Arabidopsis thaliana: one gene and its partners. The protein of the gene in region 3 interacts with the protein of the main gene of each other region in a pairwise test. Each region holds a gene or a part of one and is shown on either strand. Other genes may lie near its edges. The genes, in order: AT3G22060, AT1G54540 and AOX2.

Region 1 (6,113 bases), on a different chromosome or scaffold from region 3:
AGGCTCCAAATTTTGTCACCATCGTATTTCAATGTCGGGGCGACTCCTACGGTTCCAAGTGTCGTTCTTGCTATGCCACCCCCATCTCAGGGGTAATGTCACTTCAACATCAATATGATTTTACTCTGCATTTTACGAAATTATCAATTAACCGCCGATTTTAAACAATACAAAAAAAGACATCACAATATATGGCTATCAAGTGCCATTACTATATAGAGAACAATTGCAAAATATGTATCCAATTCTAATTTCTTTTAAATATTAAAATAATTAATTATTTCTTATAAGATATTTTAGAAACAAATGAATAGGGTTTTTTTTTATCAAACGCCAAGCATTGAAAACTTGAATCATGGCTTAAACTGAAACACAACATATGTGAATTGTATATGACAGATTCGTAGGAGATGTCAAGGATACAAGGGAGCAATTATATGGTAAGACCAATGTTTTCTCGATATTAGTACGATCAATTCTCCACCAACGATGATCGATTATGAGAATACTTTCTCTATGCACAACCAAAACAACGTTAACGAGGATGCAGAGTCGTTCAACAAAAAGACTAGGGATTTCCTCTACAATCTGATGCTGAAAGCTGATAAACCCAAAAGCCGGTAGTTATGCGGCTGGTGAAATGAGGCTTGGGACGAAAAACTTGTATGCAATGGTGCAGTGTGCTCTAGACATATTTGAATGTAAAGTTTGTTTGGAATGGAGTATCAATGAGCTTTCCAAGTGCTGCCATAGTAAAAAAGGAGCAAGATTTTTGGGTACGAGCTGTAATATTAGGTATGAGCTATACCCTTTTCTTTCGACTTAAGGACTCTTTGATGATGATGCATAACACATGAACTCTTCCAATTGTAATTTTGGTTTGTTTACTTTCCCATTTTTTTTGTTTTTTTTTGTTTTTGCCTATCTCCCACTTTGTTTGTTTGGTATTGTTTAGCTTAGCTTCCCTGCTTTGTTTGTTTAGGTCACACCTATCTCTAAAACATTATTTGAATATAAACTTCCTTATGTATCGTTTTGACTAATAGTTTTACAAGATTAGTGACTCAAAACAGAATTAACAAATAAATATATACAAATAATATCATTTTTTATTTAAAAATGAGTAGCTAGTCTTTTCTCACGTATCATGCTTATAACTAGAACTTGACAAAATACTCGTACCCGAAGAAAAGAACAGCAACGGAGGCATCAAATTGAAGCAGAACCGACACAAATACTCGAATTGATTTTTTAAAATTCTTATATCCAAAAAAACGAAACTGAATTGAAAACCGAATGAATATCCAAAATATACATGGTCTAATCAATTAATCAGTAAGCATGGAAGATGAGATAATTGCCATGATACAGTTTAGCAAAATCCCGAGAGCCAAAATCATATCGAACAAGTGGTTTACAATATGATTCTATTTTGTATTTTCTAAGAGTTTTAACATTTTTACTTTTGACTTTTTCATCGGCCCTCCCCATCTCTCGCCGAAAGATACACAACCCCTCTCTCAATTCTGTTACAAACAAGGAAAAATATTTCTTCTTCAATCTAAAGTGATCAATCAAATTTTGTAAACAAGAATATTGTTTTGAGATATATAGTTAATCTAGTTACTAATGAGACCAATCAGCTAAAAACTCCTTCTGAGTCTTCTTATATGAACAAAACAATGTACTCTTCATATTCTTTATCCAAACGTCTTGTTTCTATCCCTATCTTGGCTATACAACTCCTTCTCATACGCAGTGTCTCGTCACTGAACCTTACCAATGACTATCTTAACCACAAATGCCTCGTCAGTCAAGGGAAATATAGGCCTGGAGATAAGTACGAGGACAACCTCAACTTTCTCACCCGTGAAGTCTTATCCTATAATTTTCCAACCGGCTTCATACACATCTCTTATGGCGAAGCTCCCAGTTTTGTCGCCATCATACTACAGTGCCGCGGCGACTCCTACGACTCCAAGTGCCTCTCCTGCTATGCCACCGCCCTTTCCGGGGTAATGTCACTTCAGCATTATTAATTAGCCGTCGCATATCGAAAGAAACACCAAAAAATGTTTTCTATTGTGATTTTACTCGGTATGATTTCAAATATTTAAAAATTAAATCATCAAATCTATCTTTAACATATATAAACATGTATATCTCTTGCATGTTAAGATATATATTTGCATTGATTAGTTAAATCATTACTCAAAAAATGAAACAATCACATGTATGTATATGGCAGCTTCGTAGGAGATGTCAGAGGAACAAAGGAAGAGTAATATGGTACGACCAATGTTTTCTCTTCATTAATTCCATCAGATCATCCCCAAGGAAGAACGATTAAAGGAATGTTTTCTCTATGCACAACCCAAACAACATGATCGAGGACACGGAATTGTTCAACAAGAAAACAAGGGATTTCCTCTACGAGCTCATGCTGGAAGCCACTACACCCAACAGGACAATGATGCTTTACGCAGCAGGGGAGAAGAAGCTAGGGACAAAGAAATTGTATGCAATGGTACAGTGTGCGCAAGACATATTGCGATGAAAGGGTTGTTTGGAATGGAGTATCAATGAGCTTTCCAAGTGCTGCCACGGTAAACAAGGAGCAAGAGTTTTGGGAACAGAGTGTACTCTTAGGTATGAGCTATACCCTTTTCTTAGGAGTTAAAAGTTTGTTTGGTCGATGATGATGTAGAAGACAATCTCTTGACAACTTTCCTATTTTGTTTGGTTTTGTTTTCTTAATTTTGTTTTATTTTTGGTTACAAGTCAAAACTTTTTTGGTTTGAAATAATATAATGTATAAATCCCTTTTAAATTAGTGAAAACCCTCAAACAAGAAAAAGAACAAAAAAAAAAATTGATTTAATATATTTGAGCAGTTAAAGGGAGAAAATTATCATTTAGATAAAATACATTTAAAAAAAAAGAATTTATGTCCACACCGTACATATCTTAGTTTCACTCAGTCAAACCTTTGAATGTTGACTTTTTCATTCACCGCAATACCAAGTTCCCCTCAACTCATGGCCCTCTACTTTACATTTCTAATTTCATCTAGAAGCTTGAAATGAAAGTTGGATCAAATGGGACAAAAAATTGTTGTTTTGACATAATTGCTTCATCTTAGCCAATCAGCTAAATTGACTTCTTTTTTGTTCAAAGGAACTCTCGTGATTGGAAAATGACCAAATCCCAATTGTACAAAAATGAAAACTTCAACCCATTCTAATATTTATTAAATAAATAAATAACTTGTCTCACCACCCAAAGACCAAAATCATCTAGCCACTCTATAAAACATCCTTACCTCAACACTTCTTCTATCAAAAAAAAAAAAGACACCCTCCACAAAATATCAATTTTCTTCCAAAACAATGTCTTCATTAAAACGCATCGTTTGGTTCCCTATCTTGGCCATAGCCATACAAATTCTCTCTATACATACCGTTTTGTCTCAAAGCCAGAACAATGCGTTTCTCTTCCACAAGTGCTCAGACATCGAAGGAAGCTTTACCTCAAAAAGTCTCTACGAGTCAAATCTCAACAATCTCTTTAGTCAGCTCTCTTACAAAGTTCCATCCACCGGTTTTGCCGCCTCCTCCACTGGCAACACTCCAAACAACGTCAACGGTTTGGCCCTTTGCCGCGGTGATGCCTCCTCCTCTGACTGCCGCTCTTGTCTTGAGACTGCCATCCCCGAGGTAACCACACAATATTTACATAAGTTTTTCTACATCTTAGTGATATATATAGAAACCGCAGATTAAGTACAAAACAAAACTAGGTTATAATTAGTTTATTTACATTTCTAATGCCAATTTTTTAATTCATACCCTTTTCTTTTTTGAAACTACAATCTATAATTAGAGACTGGCTAAATTTCATTTGGAAAAATGCTATTCTATTGATAAAAAATAGTTGGAAAAAAAGATATTATATATTGGAACGGCAAGAGAAGCATAAATAGTATATCGAGTTCAATGATGGTTCTTGACGTTGGTGTCACATATGACAGCTACGTCAGAGATGTCCGAACAACAAGGCGGGAATAGTATGGTATGACAACTGTCTTGTAAAGTATTCCTCGACCAATTTCTTCGGGAAGATAGATTTCGAGAACAGGTTCTATTTGTACAACGTCAAAAATGTGAGTGATCCATCAACATTCAACTCGCAGACGAAAGCTCTTTTAACCGAGCTGACAAAGAAAGCGACTACTAGAGATAACCAGAAGCTATTTGCGACAGGAGAGAAAAATATCGGAAAGAATAAATTGTACGGACTAGTGCAATGTACGAGGGACTTGAAGAGTATTACTTGTAAGGCGTGTTTAAATGGAATTATTGGGGAGCTTCCTAACTGTTGCGACGGTAAAGAAGGAGGGAGAGTTGTGGGTGGGAGCTGTAACTTTAGGTATGAGATTTACCCTTTTGTTAAGACTGCTTGATTAGAGGTCCAAGTTAAAAGGGGGTCCAATGCCAAACACGGTCTTAATTTGTGATTATTGTCAATGTGATATGTATTGTATGTTGTTGTTTGTATAATGTGTTGAGCCAGTAAAATGTAATCTTCTCTTTGTGGGTTATTTGTACGATAGACACGATTATAGAGGCTTGACTCCTATAAATAAAAACATTCCCTTTGCCAAATATTTTCTAGACTTGAACCACAACCCACAGAAGCAAATATCATCGTTCATAATGCTTAGACTGTATGGCAGATTCAACTGTTTCAAAGGGAAATCTATTTGTCTACTACTTCAAATTTTAATTGATGTTAAAAACACAAAACATTTTTCAATATATATGTTTATATTGACAATTTGTGTGCCAACCATTTAAAAAAAAATAGTAAATGCAAAAACTCTTTATTTTTTTCTGTTTGTATCAATAGTTTTGAAAAATATATTTGACAGAAACCTGGAAATATACTGTATGTAAATAAATAAAAACACACCAGTAATGTGTCGTATTGCTATAAACTTGACCAAAAAATCATTAATTTTTTTTTTTTGGAAGTCGTCTTGATTTTCTAAGTTCATTTACATATATTTGTCTTCTAATCAAGTTTAGTTATGTTAATGTTTTTGGATAGAACCAAGTGTCGTTAGCTCAATTCGTAAAGATCCTACGCAAAGCTTAGAGGTCGCCGGTTCGAATGACATTTAGAACAAAACTAATGTTACATAATGTGGTTTCGGGTCTGGGATTACGGACTTCAACCCAAAACCTCCTAGATTTAAAAAAAAAAAAATGCTTTTGGATAGAAAATCTAAATTTCATCAAAGTATATATGAGAGACTCAGAAAATGTTTTACATTATGAGGTGCTGATTGGTTTGTTGACTAAAAGATTTTAAACGTCAACGGATAACTAGGAGAAGATATTGGTCACATGTGCTATGCTGAGTCATTGCGATGAAGACAGGTCAACGAAGGAGGAGAACCACGTTGCTCCTTCGCTTTTTCCCAATCCTTTCTTTGTGCGTAAGCGGCGACCACTACCACGAAAATCCCGCATAATATTCTGAAAAAATTCTCACAGTTTTCGGATAAAATCGTACACTCAGGACAAAAATAAGAATGCAAGATACAAATATAGAAACCCTATATGAAAAGGACAACATTAAACTAAATTCTAATTCTATTGATATTAAGGACCTATATTTTCAAAGTTTAAAGGACTGCTCATTAAGAATTACGAAACAATAAAATTGTTTGTCCCCCATCATTGGTCAAATCAAAGATAAGCCTATACGCACTTCCGTATACTTAAAGTTTGACTTGATAACTATACAAATCATGTTCAAATGGTAAGGTTGCTGTCACTCCTCGAGTCCGAAACTTAGGGATCGGTCAACAGAGCTAGTGTTAATCAGATGTGAATCTCTTATAATAAGCATAAAATCAAACTATTAGTATTTATTGAATTAAAAACTCAATGATTTGTTCTCCAGAGCTAGATATTTTAATGGTACAGAGAGGCAGACGTTTTTCTTTTGGTAATCAAGGTCTGACCCATGTAATCTAGAGATCAGAGCAAGTTATATAAGTCTTGTCTTCCTTGTAGATATCGGCACTCATAACCTTAAAAGTTCTT
Region 2 (5,570 bases), on a different chromosome or scaffold from region 3:
AATATCATCAATATTTCGTAAGGAAATAAAAATTCATTGTTATACTCAACATGTAAAATCATTTTAACTAACTACACAAAATCTTCTAAAAAAAAATAGGTGTATATGCAAACTAAAACTGTAAATGTGAAGACATTTACATAGTTATCAGAAAATTAACATTAAAATCATATAATTTTCAAGCTTAAAAATAAAATCAACAAGAAAAAACAAAAAACAAAACCAAAAAAAAAAAACTCATAATTTTAAAAGGTAGCTTATATTCTCTGTGGCAAAACATGCACGCAACATATTACTACGTTATCGAATCTTGTAGCATCATTTAACCAAACATCAAAGAAAAACAAAAAAATTCAAAGAGACTTTTTCCAAATTCAGATCTCAAAACACGAATTCGAGAATTCTACGATGATCGAAACAGTAATCACAAGCAAAACTCTAATCGGATTCCTTTCCGATACAAAATCATTCGAATCCATAACCAACGACTATTTCCAGATTCTAGATCTAGACAAAAACGGAATGTTGTCTCCATCGGAGCTTCGTCAAGGTCTCAACAATGTGGTAGCTGTGGAATCTGAGGTCGCTCCTGGAGACGAGACCGATAACGTGTACAATGCGATTTTCGAGAGATTCGGTGAAGATTTGGTTCCAAAAAATTTTAGGGATTTGATTGCAGAGATTTTGACGGCGATGGCGAGAGGTATCGGAAACTCGCCGGTGATTATGGTTGTGCATAATGATGGATTGATTATGAAAGCTGTTCTTCATGAATCTAAACAAGGCAAGTGATGAGATTTTTTAAAGCATTTAGAGCTTTTTATTTTTCTTTTGGGAAAATTTGATTTATAATTTGGTTATGTTTGAATTTTATATACATGAATTAATGTTGTTAATTGATAATGATTACATTGTAATTTCTTCGATTTTTACTTCTTTTTTTACTTGGGATGAATTAAACTCGAGATCGTTTGAATTTTCTCGAAATTTTATATTTCAATTCTATTGTAATTTTCGAAAGTTTTACCATTGAAAAAATAGTATAGATGTGATTCACACTACCAAACCATTCATGCTGAAGTTGATTCCATGCTATGGGCAATAGAATTTATAATCTCGATAGGTGTTACGAGTTGCTCTTTTGCTTTCGACCGTGAAGATCTTATCTCTATTGAAAAACTTTCAGTGTAGCCAACATTTGTAGTTGAGATGACGACATTTGGTTCCCTTGTATGTTTTTTTCCCTCTTCTAGTATTAATTTTCTTTCTCGTCGTTTTAATGTGCGGATCGATTGCCTTGGAAAAAGACATGAGATCGCAATAGGTTTTTTTCCCATGTAAGCACGTCGGTTCCTGAATGACTCTCTCTCTCTCTAGAAGAGAGTCTCGTTCCGACTACTTCATAGAAATTATGTTAAGCGGAAAAGAACCATTCATTTGCAATATTTTGAAATTTCAAAAATCTCTCGTAATTTAAAAAATAAAAATCAATCTTTTATTGAGAATAAAACCATTAATCCAAAATATGAATCAAATGCATAAGAAAATGATGAATTGAGTAATTAACACCAATAAAAAGTAAAAGCGCCTAGATCTAAGAACATCTCAGAGTTTGGCCTTAAAACTGCAATCACTAGCTTTGATGTTGATATTATTGTTCGTTGATAAACTATCAACAACAAGCTTACAACTCCCCAATATCCGAATCTTCTTCATCTTCAGATTTCCGAGTTTGATGGCGACAGGTGCATTCACTTTAAGATCTAACGGTACACGTCCTGTTTGTTGTTGCTGCTGCAATGCCGCCAAGACAGTGTTCCCATATTGCGCTCTTCCCGTTAGAGCCACATTTAGTTTAGTTACATTGCGATGTCCTTGATAAAACCTCGGTATAGGGCCTTCACATAGCTTTGTCTTGTCGTACCACACACCGATATGACCTCCTTTCTCGTAATAAATCCCAATCTTTTCGTTGGGATTACGAGCTGTGATCTCGACTTTAAACTCCGCGGAAAGAGAGAGGTCTAGATTGATTCCAAGGTTGGTAACTCGTAAACTGTTGACTTCGTAACTCGGGAGTTTAGGGTGGAAAACAAAGTATACAACCGCAACCGCAATTGCTAACGCGATCAATGCAATGACTAGAAGGCTTAACACCCAACAAAAGATTTTGCAGCACATATTTCGATTCTTACTAGGAATAACAGGAGGCGGAATCGGCCGTTGAACCGGAAGCAAGACTGTCTTTCCGGGAGCTGGTGTTGTTGTCTTCGTCTTGTTGGCTTCCATTTGAAGAACCGGGTGAATTTTTTGTTGATCTCCCATGGATCTACAACTTTGTATTTAGTAATACTAATGCACCAACATGTATTATATGTACTTTATTTTATATCAAAGTTTTGTCTTGTGAAGTTGTTTCCATGCATGACTTTTACCAACATCTTACCTTCCTCACCTATAACGTTGAATTAATCAGAATATATTAGAAAGACTAGAGGTTGTTCAACAGTTACAGTAATCTTTTTGTATTTAATTCGATAATAAAACAAAAACAATAAATCATTCGGTATATTGGTTTAGTTAGGATGACGACTTTGGCAACATTCCAATGTTTTCAACACATATCTTCTTTTTGTTCATCTCTATGTTCAGCAACAACCCGTATAATCAAATTCTTGAGGAAGAATTTGAAAACTACAATTTTTATGATACATTTCATAACTATCACTAATTTTTTTTTTCAAAAACACCACAAAAGGATTTATAATTTCTTTAAATACATTTTATAGAAAATATTTATAAAGTTATATAAGGTTTTATAAATTGATTCTTGAATGATTTTTTTGTAAGCAATCTCAAAAGAAGAAAGATTCAAACTTATTAAGATAGAAACTAAGAACTTAGATAGATTATTAAAACTTTATGATGCAAGGGTACTGATAGAGAAAATATTACTTCGTTGTCACCAAGAACACTATGATTCGAAATTGATACTCTTATTAAGATGAAGGAAGAGAGTTGTTTTGAGAGGACAACTCTCAAACAAAGTTACCTTCCATGGATGTTCTAACCATAAATTTATATGCTTTTGCTAGCTAAAACTCTAGTTCCATGGGCTAATAGACTTCTCAAAACACTCTATCTTAGGATTCTTTTGCATCCTTTTAAAAAAAAAGTCTTTAGTAGTTTATTTTGAGAAATGGAATCGTAAAAGTGATAGATGTCAAAGTTTCCCAATTAATATATAGTCATCACTCATCTACTCTGGAAATTTATGTTAGTCACATATCATCTGATCTATAAAGAGATTACTAAATATGTGGTGGTGCACTCTACGAACTAAATCAAGAGCTTCGTAGTTTTTAAGTAAAACTGAAAATCAGTTGCTAAACGATTTCGTAATTTTACCATATGATATAGTTAAGGATTCGATGGTTTATTTTTTTCCAAATAATAGGCCCATTTAAAAAATCTGTGCCAAAGCAAAACTTTATTACAAGCCCAACCAAAACACATATACAAACATATTAGGGTACCGAATAGGTCAATGAGACATTAAACTTGTGGAGAAAGCTGAAAACTTGGAGGAAGAATGGCGACAGTAACCGATCTACCGGATGATTTGGTAAGAGAAATATTTTCTAGGGTTCCATTGACATCTCTAAGAGCAGTGAGATCTACTTGTAAAAAGTGGAACGCTATATCGAAATATGACATCTTAGGTAAAAAAGCAGCAGCAAAGAATCAGTTCTTGGAGTTCATGGTTACAGATTCTAGGGTTTGTTCTTTGAGATTAGATCTTCAAGGAATCCGTAGCGAAGAAGATTTGATTGATCTATCTATAAAGCAAATAAGTATACCTAATAAAGTTGATCAAGTCGAGATATCTCAAGTCTATCACTGTGATGGCTTATTGTTATGCATCGCCAAAGACAACTCGAGTGTTATGGTATGGAATCCGTATTTAGGGCAGACGAAATTGATTCAACCAAGAAAAAAACTCCACAGATATGACAAGTTTGCTCTTGGATACGACAACAACCGTAACCACAAAATTTTGAGGTTTCTTTATGAGGGGAGTCCAAGAAACGTCATTATTGATGTTTACGATTTTAGCTCTGATTCATGGAGGGTTCTTGATATTGATATAGATTGGCATGAACTGTTTAGTCACAATAGCGTGTCTTTGAAGGGAAATACTTACTTTTTTGGTCGAAAGGGACCACGTTTGCCTATGCTGTTTAAACCTCCATCTCGTCGTTTTGAATATTTGACTCTATCTTGTGTTAGAAATGAGAAACTCGCTGTGTTATACAGCCACCTCAACAGATTTGGCACAATAGAGATTTGTATTTCGACTAAGATTGATCCCAGTGCAGTATCATGGACCACTTTTTTGAGAATTGATATGACACTAATCAATGGTTTACCGGATAACTTTTTTGTTCACTCTTATGCTACGAGCTTTTTCTTCGATGAGGAGAAGAAGGTCGCTGTGCTTTTCGGTACAAACAGATATAGAGGACGTGAGACCTGTCAGTACTACCAGAGAGCTTGCATCGTTGGAGATAGTGGATACTTCAAAGCTGTCAACATCGAACTAGTTTTCAATTCACAGCTGCAATCTTGCCAACTTGTGAGCTCTTCTTATGTTCCAAGTTTAGTGCAACTGCAAGATTAGTCCGTTTTCTTTAAACATTTTATTTGTTTTTTGCGTTGAACAAGACTGCTTTTAGGTTGAAGAAATAGTTGATAGAAGTTTCATTTTCTATGAAGGCTGATTTTTTTGTTTCTTGCTTTGAACAAGACTGCTTTTAGTTCTAAAGATCACCAGAGAACAGTTTATCTAGGGTTTTCAGGAATTAATCTATAGAGAGTAACAAAGTTTTTATAACAAATGCATGCATGAGGGATCAGCTACATAAATTGCAAGACTTGAATTATAATTAATATGAAGGAGAGTGACTACTATTTATAAATCCGAGACGATAGTTTTCAGTTAGCATTGGTCAATTTTAAAGTTCTTGCAAAGTTCGGGCTTACTGAATGGTCTTAGACATTATATCCAATTCAATGACAGCTCCATTGGAAAACAATTTGATTCCATTTCAAACTTGTTTATGAATGCTTATGAAAGTCAAAGGAGGTAATTAGACAAGTTTGAAACTAAAACAAAAAAAAAAACTTATCCAGATATGCTTGTTCGATAAATCCAGATCTTTTGTATGTATACTGTTTTGGAACTTATTTTAGTCGTGGAAAATTTAGTTTACTATTTTTAACAGCTTTCTTTATACAGACTTATGTTGAAATGTTTTGCAGCACATTTGCTTTGCAGTTCATACATGATCCGAAAAATATGTTGCAAACAAAACAAAAAAAAGTGGCACGGTATAATTTCTGATAAGACCAGGTTAGATCTGCTTCAAAAAGATTGTATTCTTAGTATATAATGAAAAGTTGAACTTATTGTCACCTCTATTCAAAAGATCGAGTAGGATTATCACAACTACACAGTGGTGGTGTAAACTTATTGAACCAATTTATCTTTATTAGTCAGAACATGGCAA
Region 3 (6,604 bases):
AATTCCTCAGTCGGAGAAGAAGAAGAAATTGGACCTTCGATCTCTGGGAATAAACACATCAACGACCTTTCCATACTTTGCGAATAGAGGATAGAGATCATCAGCAGTCGTACCTACACATAACAACAAAACCTAATCTCTTAGAAACCCCCAGTTCACGAAAATTGATTAGAGGTTGAGAAACAGAAATAGGGACTTGAGAGATTACGGAAGGTGATGTTAAGGACGAGAAGTGAGTAGGTGTCGCTGATATCCGGTGGACCTGACCTTCCGAAGTGCGACATGGTTTTCCCGCCGGCGGAGAAATTGGGAGCGCGAGAGAGAGACGAAGTGAAATTAGGTTAAAGCTTTTCTGAAACAATGGAATCTACTAGATACGGGGACATTTTTTTTAAAGCTTGACGTTGTTGTTAATTACATTTGTACCCCTTGACGAAGACACAAAAAAAAGAAGATAATCGAACCGGATGATACCGAGTTTGGTTCGTATCGGTTCAGCAGCGATTGGGACGGTTGAGACGCAATTTTATTATAGTCTGAAACATTTTTACCAAAACAATTCTGCAATTTACAAACACCGGTACATCTCTAACACCTTTAAAACATATTTTAGCACATTCAAACAAATTCATATCCAAAATCATTAAAAAAAACAAACAGAAAAACTCCAAGTAGGATACTCTTTTGAAATTGGTTTAGTGATAACCAATCGGAGCTGCTGCTTCTCGCAACTCTTTTCCTTGATTGCGAATGTCCTGCAAATAACTCACAATATTAACAATTCAAAAACACCACACAACATAACAAATCCACAGATTTTTAAAATTCATTGATTTATATTAAAAACTATGAACTTGTATGTATCCACACACCAAATGTCGTTGATTCTACTACTTATATCATTTGTTATTTTAATATCACCGAAATGGACCCGAAGAAATGTATGAAACTCGGGAGTTTTGGAAAAAAAATAAAAGGGTTGTTGTTTTAGACTCACAGAAGCAAAATGGTTGACATCTCGATGATGAGCTTCATCAGCACGAATCACCGTTACAACATCTTTCAACGTAGCATCTTTAGGCAATCTCCAATAATCAATAGCAATCGCGGGCGCGGCAACATTCTCGATCTTCCCATTGTCGATATCTTTAAGAAACTCGGTGTAAGAATGTATAGCTTCTTCCTCTAAATATCCAACGACCCTATGAGCTAACCGCGGGGAAATCACGTAACAAACGAAAAAAGAGTTGAAGAATATTCCTTGAACAAGCATCACTAGAAGACGCTCGTACCATTTGGGTTTGACTAACTCCATCATCGTCATTAGATGCATCCTCTCGTTCTCTGCTTCTTCGAGTAATGCTTTGATCCAACCGCCGCTATGTTCGAATTTTCGGATTGATTTTAGGTGAAGAAGCATTCCTCCAACCATTCCTGGTACTGCAGCTACTGTCTCTAGCATCATCGCTCTGCATCCATATCGTCTCTGCTGACCAAACATATATTTAACATTAAGGAACAAAAAATGTAAAACATTAGCATGTGAAGTGAAACAGTGAATCCATACGTATGTATATATGTGAATCATGGTAGGATAATATGTGCATACAAAATTACAAACCAAACCAAACCGAATCAGCTAAATAAACCAATGAACATATTAAACGAATCAACGTTTCATTTTAAAATTTGAAATTACAGTCATGCCTGAAAAAATATATCGGTGGGAATACGGAGGAGCTTGACAATCCGGTAAGCGACTTTGTCGGCGATATTCTTCGGAACGTGGTGCTTCTTCAAATCTATCGACAGATTTGCTTGATAAGTCTCCCATGGCTGTTCAAAATATACTTAAGTCATATATCTACTACATATAAAAGAGTGCTTAATTTGTCTACGAACTTTGGGATGTGTATAAGTTTACCATAAAACAGTTCCAAGGCCAATCCGATCCATCTTTCCGAGTAATTTTCATCTTTGCTGTCTCTATTCCCCAATAACTTGGAACCGCTACTGACCCCCCGCCGTTTTGACCCTTCTTTACCGTCAAATTTTCATCTTTCTTCTCCATCGCCGATGCAGAACTCATACCCATCCACCTCAAGTTAAAATTTCCTATTCAAATTTTAGAAATATACAAATCCTAATTATCATGTACAATTGTTATAAGGTTGTATGAGGATCATCTACAGATATGCACACCTTGCACATGCTTAGAGCCGATCTTGAAATCGCCAAAACCGCCGCACCAGTCATGAATTCGCATCGGTGCCGTTATCTCATACGGACTTTTCATAACAGAGGTGGAGGAAACAGAACTCACGAACATGTTACAGTTTCCTCTGCCGCAGACAAGCAGAACTCGTAAAGCTGCTTTCGTAATGAGTTGACTCATCTTACGACACTCTCTCGTATACTTATAGATTCACTTCTCAGATAAGAGGCTTGTTCTCTGACTGAAAGAAAATGATTCAACTCTGTTTTTTCTCGAAAGAAAGTGTAAGTAGGGGAAACAAGAAGGAAATAAAAAATGACGTTATCAGCTGATACGCGGCGAATACTGCTGAATACACGTGGCTCATATCCAACTGTTGCTTTACTTTTAAGATAACTATTTTTAAAAAAACGAATGCACATTTTTTAAGTTTGTCCGAATCTTGAAGTGGCGTTCAGCAGACAGAGCGCACGTGAATCTGGTCTTGACTGAACTGTCCGGTCCAATATCTTTTGGTTTGGTTTAATTCGGATTAATAGATTGTCTCCTTAAGAAAAGTTCCTAAAAGGAACATTAATTATAATTACATTCATGAATCAATTTAGCAAAAGTACACACATTGAATAAAAATTTCATCCACGTGTCCACGTGTAAGGTTTGTATTGGATAAAAATGTTTTGGTTCACTAAATTTATAAAACAACCTCCACCATATCGGCGCTTTCCTTCCGATTTCGTCCTCCCCCAGAAAATAGAGAGGAAAAAAGGAAAAAAAGTAATCATCGATTCGCTTTCACAACCTGGAAAGCTCGAAAAGAGGAAAAAAATTCTAAAGAGCTTATCAAGCTCACTTCATACACCTAGATCGATTTAGGGTTCGTTTGATTTTTTTTTTTCTGTGATTGCGACAGCTAGAGATCTATCTCTGGTGGATTTTGGGTTTATGTTCCATGGCGGATCGCGGATCTTTCGGATTTGCTCCTCGATTAGGTCTCTCTACCATTTCGCCATATCTAGGGTTTTTGCTATCTTCCTTTTCGTGTTTTGTACTCCTTTTTAGTTGTTTTGGATCTGATCATTACTAGTTTTTCGTTTTGTTGCATTTTAGTGAAGGGAAGGATTTCTAGCTTGTTGAATTACGATTTATATTTTGCTTCTTAGTTGTTCCCGCTTAAGTTGTATTGCTCTGTTACATTTGATATTTTGATTGATGTTGGTTAGTGCAAGAGAGTGTTAGTGGATGTTTAGCTACAGAGTTGTAGTATCAATGTGTTTCTTACCCTTTTATGAACTTGTAGATATCAAGCAATTGCTGTCAGAAGCACAACACAGGTGGCTGAGACCTGCTGAGATTTGTGAAATTCTTCGGAATCATCAGAAGTTTCATATTGCGTCAGAGCCTCCCAACCGACCACCCAGTATGTTTCTTGCTGATTTTCTTCATTTTTGTTTGCAATATATTCTTATTTTTTGAGCTGTACAATCAATAGATGCTGAATAAGTTACATTAGCTTGGGTTTTATTTCTGTCTTGCTTTAACGAACTTTATGCTTGACGTGTTCACTCCCCCGTTTATCCTGTTAGTCCTGAATAGTTCAGAAGTTTTGCGTGTTGTGTGCCTTGACAATAATTTATTGCGGTTTGTCTTCTCTAATTAACAGAAATTCCCTGCTCTTCTAGGTGGTTCACTCTTTCTCTTCGATAGGAAGGTGCTCAGATATTTCCGAAAAGACGGGCACAATTGGAGGAAGAAGAAAGATGGGAAAACAGTGAAAGAGGCTCACGAAAAGCTGAAGGTTAATATTTCTATTTATGTGTCCTCGTTAAATATTAGTGCAGATTAATGCAATGACCTTGAAACCAATTCCTTGGTTTTACTACTGATTTTTCTAGCTGATAATGCAACATCTCAATGTTAGAGAGTAATAAGATTGTGTAAGTATACACAGGTAGGAAGCATTGATGTGTTACATTGTTACTATGCACATGGAGAAGATAATGAGAACTTCCAGAGGCGGTGCTACTGGATGCTTGAACAGTGAGTCTATCTATGTTTGTCCACATTTCATATGTTTTGCTCTGTTTAGTATCATAAGCGTTAGTTTTTCAGCATTTATGTGCTTTGTATAAAGTGTGCATGGTAGTCTGCTAGTGTCCTGGGAATGGCCTTTTTATTGTATTAGCAGAAAATGAGCTAGAAGGGCTATAGAAAGGAATATTATTATAATTTCCGAGATTCTGCTATAAAACATCAATTTCTAAGTTGTGAGATGAAATCGAGGATAATGTTTATACAAGACAAGACTGAACCAAAGGCATTTCACGTGATCTCTAAAATCCCTATCTTCTGGAATGAAATGTGCTTGTTGGTACTTTTCTTCATTTATTGTCACTTTTCAGTGTTAGTGCTCATGTCCACTGTTTGTGTGTTACATGGATACAGGGATCTGATGCACATTGTTTTCGTTCACTACTTGGAGGTTAAGGTATAGCTTTTGTTTTGTACTGTACTAATATATTCTTAAAATATGAACTTCCATCGCTCAACACTATATCTTCCTTTTTAAGTGGATGCTGTCTTTCCTATGTGTGGTTTTGTTATAGTCATCTTATATTGTACGTCATGCTATTATACAGGGTAACCGAATGAGTACCAGTGGAACTAAAGAAAACCATTCAAATTCTCTGAGTGGCACGGGTTCTGTAAATGTTGATTCCACAGCAACCCGATCCAGCATATTGTCACCATTATGTGAAGATGCTGATTCTGGTATATAATTTCTCTCTTATATAATCTGCTTTAGTATCTTTTTGTTTAAGAGTGTAGATCTTTCAGTGATGAGACTTTGTGGTTGATTGTATTGCTGCTCGTGGTTCTGCTTCAACACAAACTAATATCATTTTGACGCAGGGGATAGTCGTCAAGCAAGTTCCAGTTTGCAACAAAATCCTGAACCTCAAACTGTTGTTCCTCAGATTATGCATCATCAGAATGCTAGCACAATCAATTCTTACAATACAACCTCTGTTTTGGGTACTTCATTTGCTTTCTGTTTTACAAGCTTCCTTGCCTTACCAAATTCCTGCATGTTTGCTGAGATTGTCTTCTCTTCCTAGGAAATCGAGATGGTTGGACGTCAGCTCATGGGAACAGGGTCAAAGGAAGTAACTCCCAAAGATCAGGTGATGTCCCAGCATGGGATGCTTCCTTTGAGAATTCATTGGCAAGATACCAGAATCTACCTTATAATGCTCCGTTGACTCAGACACAGCCTTCTACTTTTGGTTTGATCCCCATGGAAGGGAAAACAGAGAAAGGTTCCCTGTTAACGTCAGAGCATCTTAGAAATCCTCTTCAAAGTCAAGTAAATTGGCAGGTGATATATGCTTGCTTATAGCTAAGCTATTCATTTTAAATCTAAGTAGGATTTGTGCCTATGTTTGTATTATGGTGCCACTGTTTAATTTGTTTACTTAATCATTCAAGCATGAATTTTCTCATCATGAATGTTGGTTCTTTGAAAATATCTGATTTTGAGTTTCTCTTCTCTATAGACTCCTGTTCAGGAAAGCGTGCCATTGCAAAAATGGCCCATGGATTCGCATTCTGGAATGACTGATGCTACTGATCTTGCCTTATTTGGGCAAGGAGCACATGAAAATTTTGGGACATTTTCCAGTCTTCTTGGTAGTCAAGATCAACAGTCTAGTAGTTTCCAAGCTCCTTTCACAAATAATGAAGCAGCATATATACCTAAATTAGGCCCCGAGGATCTTATATATGAAGCAAGTGCAAATCAAACACTACCTCTTAGAAAAGCATTGTTAAAAAAAGAGGATAGTTTGAAAAAGGTTGACAGTTTCTCTCGGTGGGTTAGTAAAGAACTTGGGGAGATGGAAGACTTGCAGATGCAATCTTCATCTGGAGGTATTGCATGGACTTCTGTTGAATGTGAAAACGCAGCAGCTGGGTCTTCCTTAAGTCCTTCTCTGTCCGAGGATCAGCGCTTCACTATGATCGACTTTTGGCCCAAATGGACTCAGACAGACTCAGAAGTTGAGGTAATTTTTAGTGTTATTTTTGAAAAAATGGTTTTGTGGTGTAGCATTCAGTTAAGATGGTCTTTGGCTAATCCAATTTGCCAAACTTAAATGAAGATTTTTTTTTCGTATAACACCTTTGATAATCAATCTTTCTGCAAGTAGTAAGCCTGTATACGTTTAGGAACAGTACTTTCTTTCTGCTGTTCTGCTCTGTTTCTTCCTATTTTTGAGCTCTTTGGCTTTGGAAGTTTGTTAGGAGATAACTCCTTTCTCATCTACCATTTTAATTTTCGAACAGGTAATGGTTATCGGGACATTTCTGTTGAGTCCTCAGGAAGTAACTAGC

Evidence for each region.
Region 1: the proteins of AOX2 (region 3) and AT3G22060 interact in a protein complementation assay, tested with the Arabidopsis thaliana proteins (one large-scale study listed by BioGRID).
Region 2: the proteins of AOX2 (region 3) and AT1G54540 interact in a protein complementation assay, tested with the Arabidopsis thaliana proteins (one large-scale study listed by BioGRID).

The regions. Positions count from the first base shown.
Region 1 is NC_003074.8:7,767,676-7,773,788, forward strand, and holds AT3G22060 (Receptor-like protein kinase-related family protein), read left to right. Parts: upstream 1-3,223; 5' UTR 3,224-3,389; coding exon 3,390-3,716; intron 3,717-4,030; coding exon 4,031-4,462; 3' UTR 4,463-4,682; downstream 4,683-6,113. Other genes in the region: AT3G22053 (cysteine-rich repeat secretory protein), read left to right, coding at 1-92, 400-440, 551-624; AT3G22057 (cysteine-rich repeat secretory protein), read left to right, coding at 1,671-1,874, 1,956-2,015, 2,326-2,586.
Region 2 is NC_003070.9:20,366,097-20,371,666, forward strand, and holds AT1G54540 (Late embryogenesis abundant (LEA) hydroxyproline-rich glycoprotein family), read right to left. Parts: upstream 2,416-5,570; 5' UTR 2,326-2,415; coding exon 1,606-2,325; 3' UTR 1,457-1,605; downstream 1-1,456. Other genes in the region: AT1G54530 (Calcium-binding EF hand family protein), read left to right, coding at 409-792; AT1G54550 (F-box and associated interaction domains-containing protein), read left to right, coding at 3,593-4,681; XIE (Myosin family protein with Dil domain-containing protein), read right to left, coding at 5,553-5,570.
Region 3 is NC_003076.8:25,683,270-25,689,873, forward strand, and holds AOX2 (alternative oxidase 2), read right to left. Parts: upstream 2,463-6,604; 5' UTR 2,396-2,462; coding exon 2,203-2,395; intron 2,116-2,202; coding exon 1,925-2,115; intron 1,837-1,924; coding exon 1,708-1,836; intron 1,487-1,707; coding exon 998-1,486; intron 756-997; coding exon 696-755; 3' UTR 501-695; downstream 1-500. Other genes in the region: SC35 (serine/arginine-rich splicing factor-like protein, putative), read right to left, coding at 35-113, 209-284; AT5G64220 (Calmodulin-binding transcription activator protein with CG-1 and Ankyrin domain), read left to right, coding at 3,165-3,204, 3,513-3,632, 3,895-4,010, 4,164-4,252, 4,658-4,700, 4,852-4,984, 5,126-5,248, 5,332-5,591 and 2 more. UniProt on the Arabidopsis thaliana protein: Catalyzes the cyanide-resistant oxidation of ubiquinol and the reduction of molecular oxygen to water, but does not translocate protons and consequently is not linked to oxidative phosphorylation.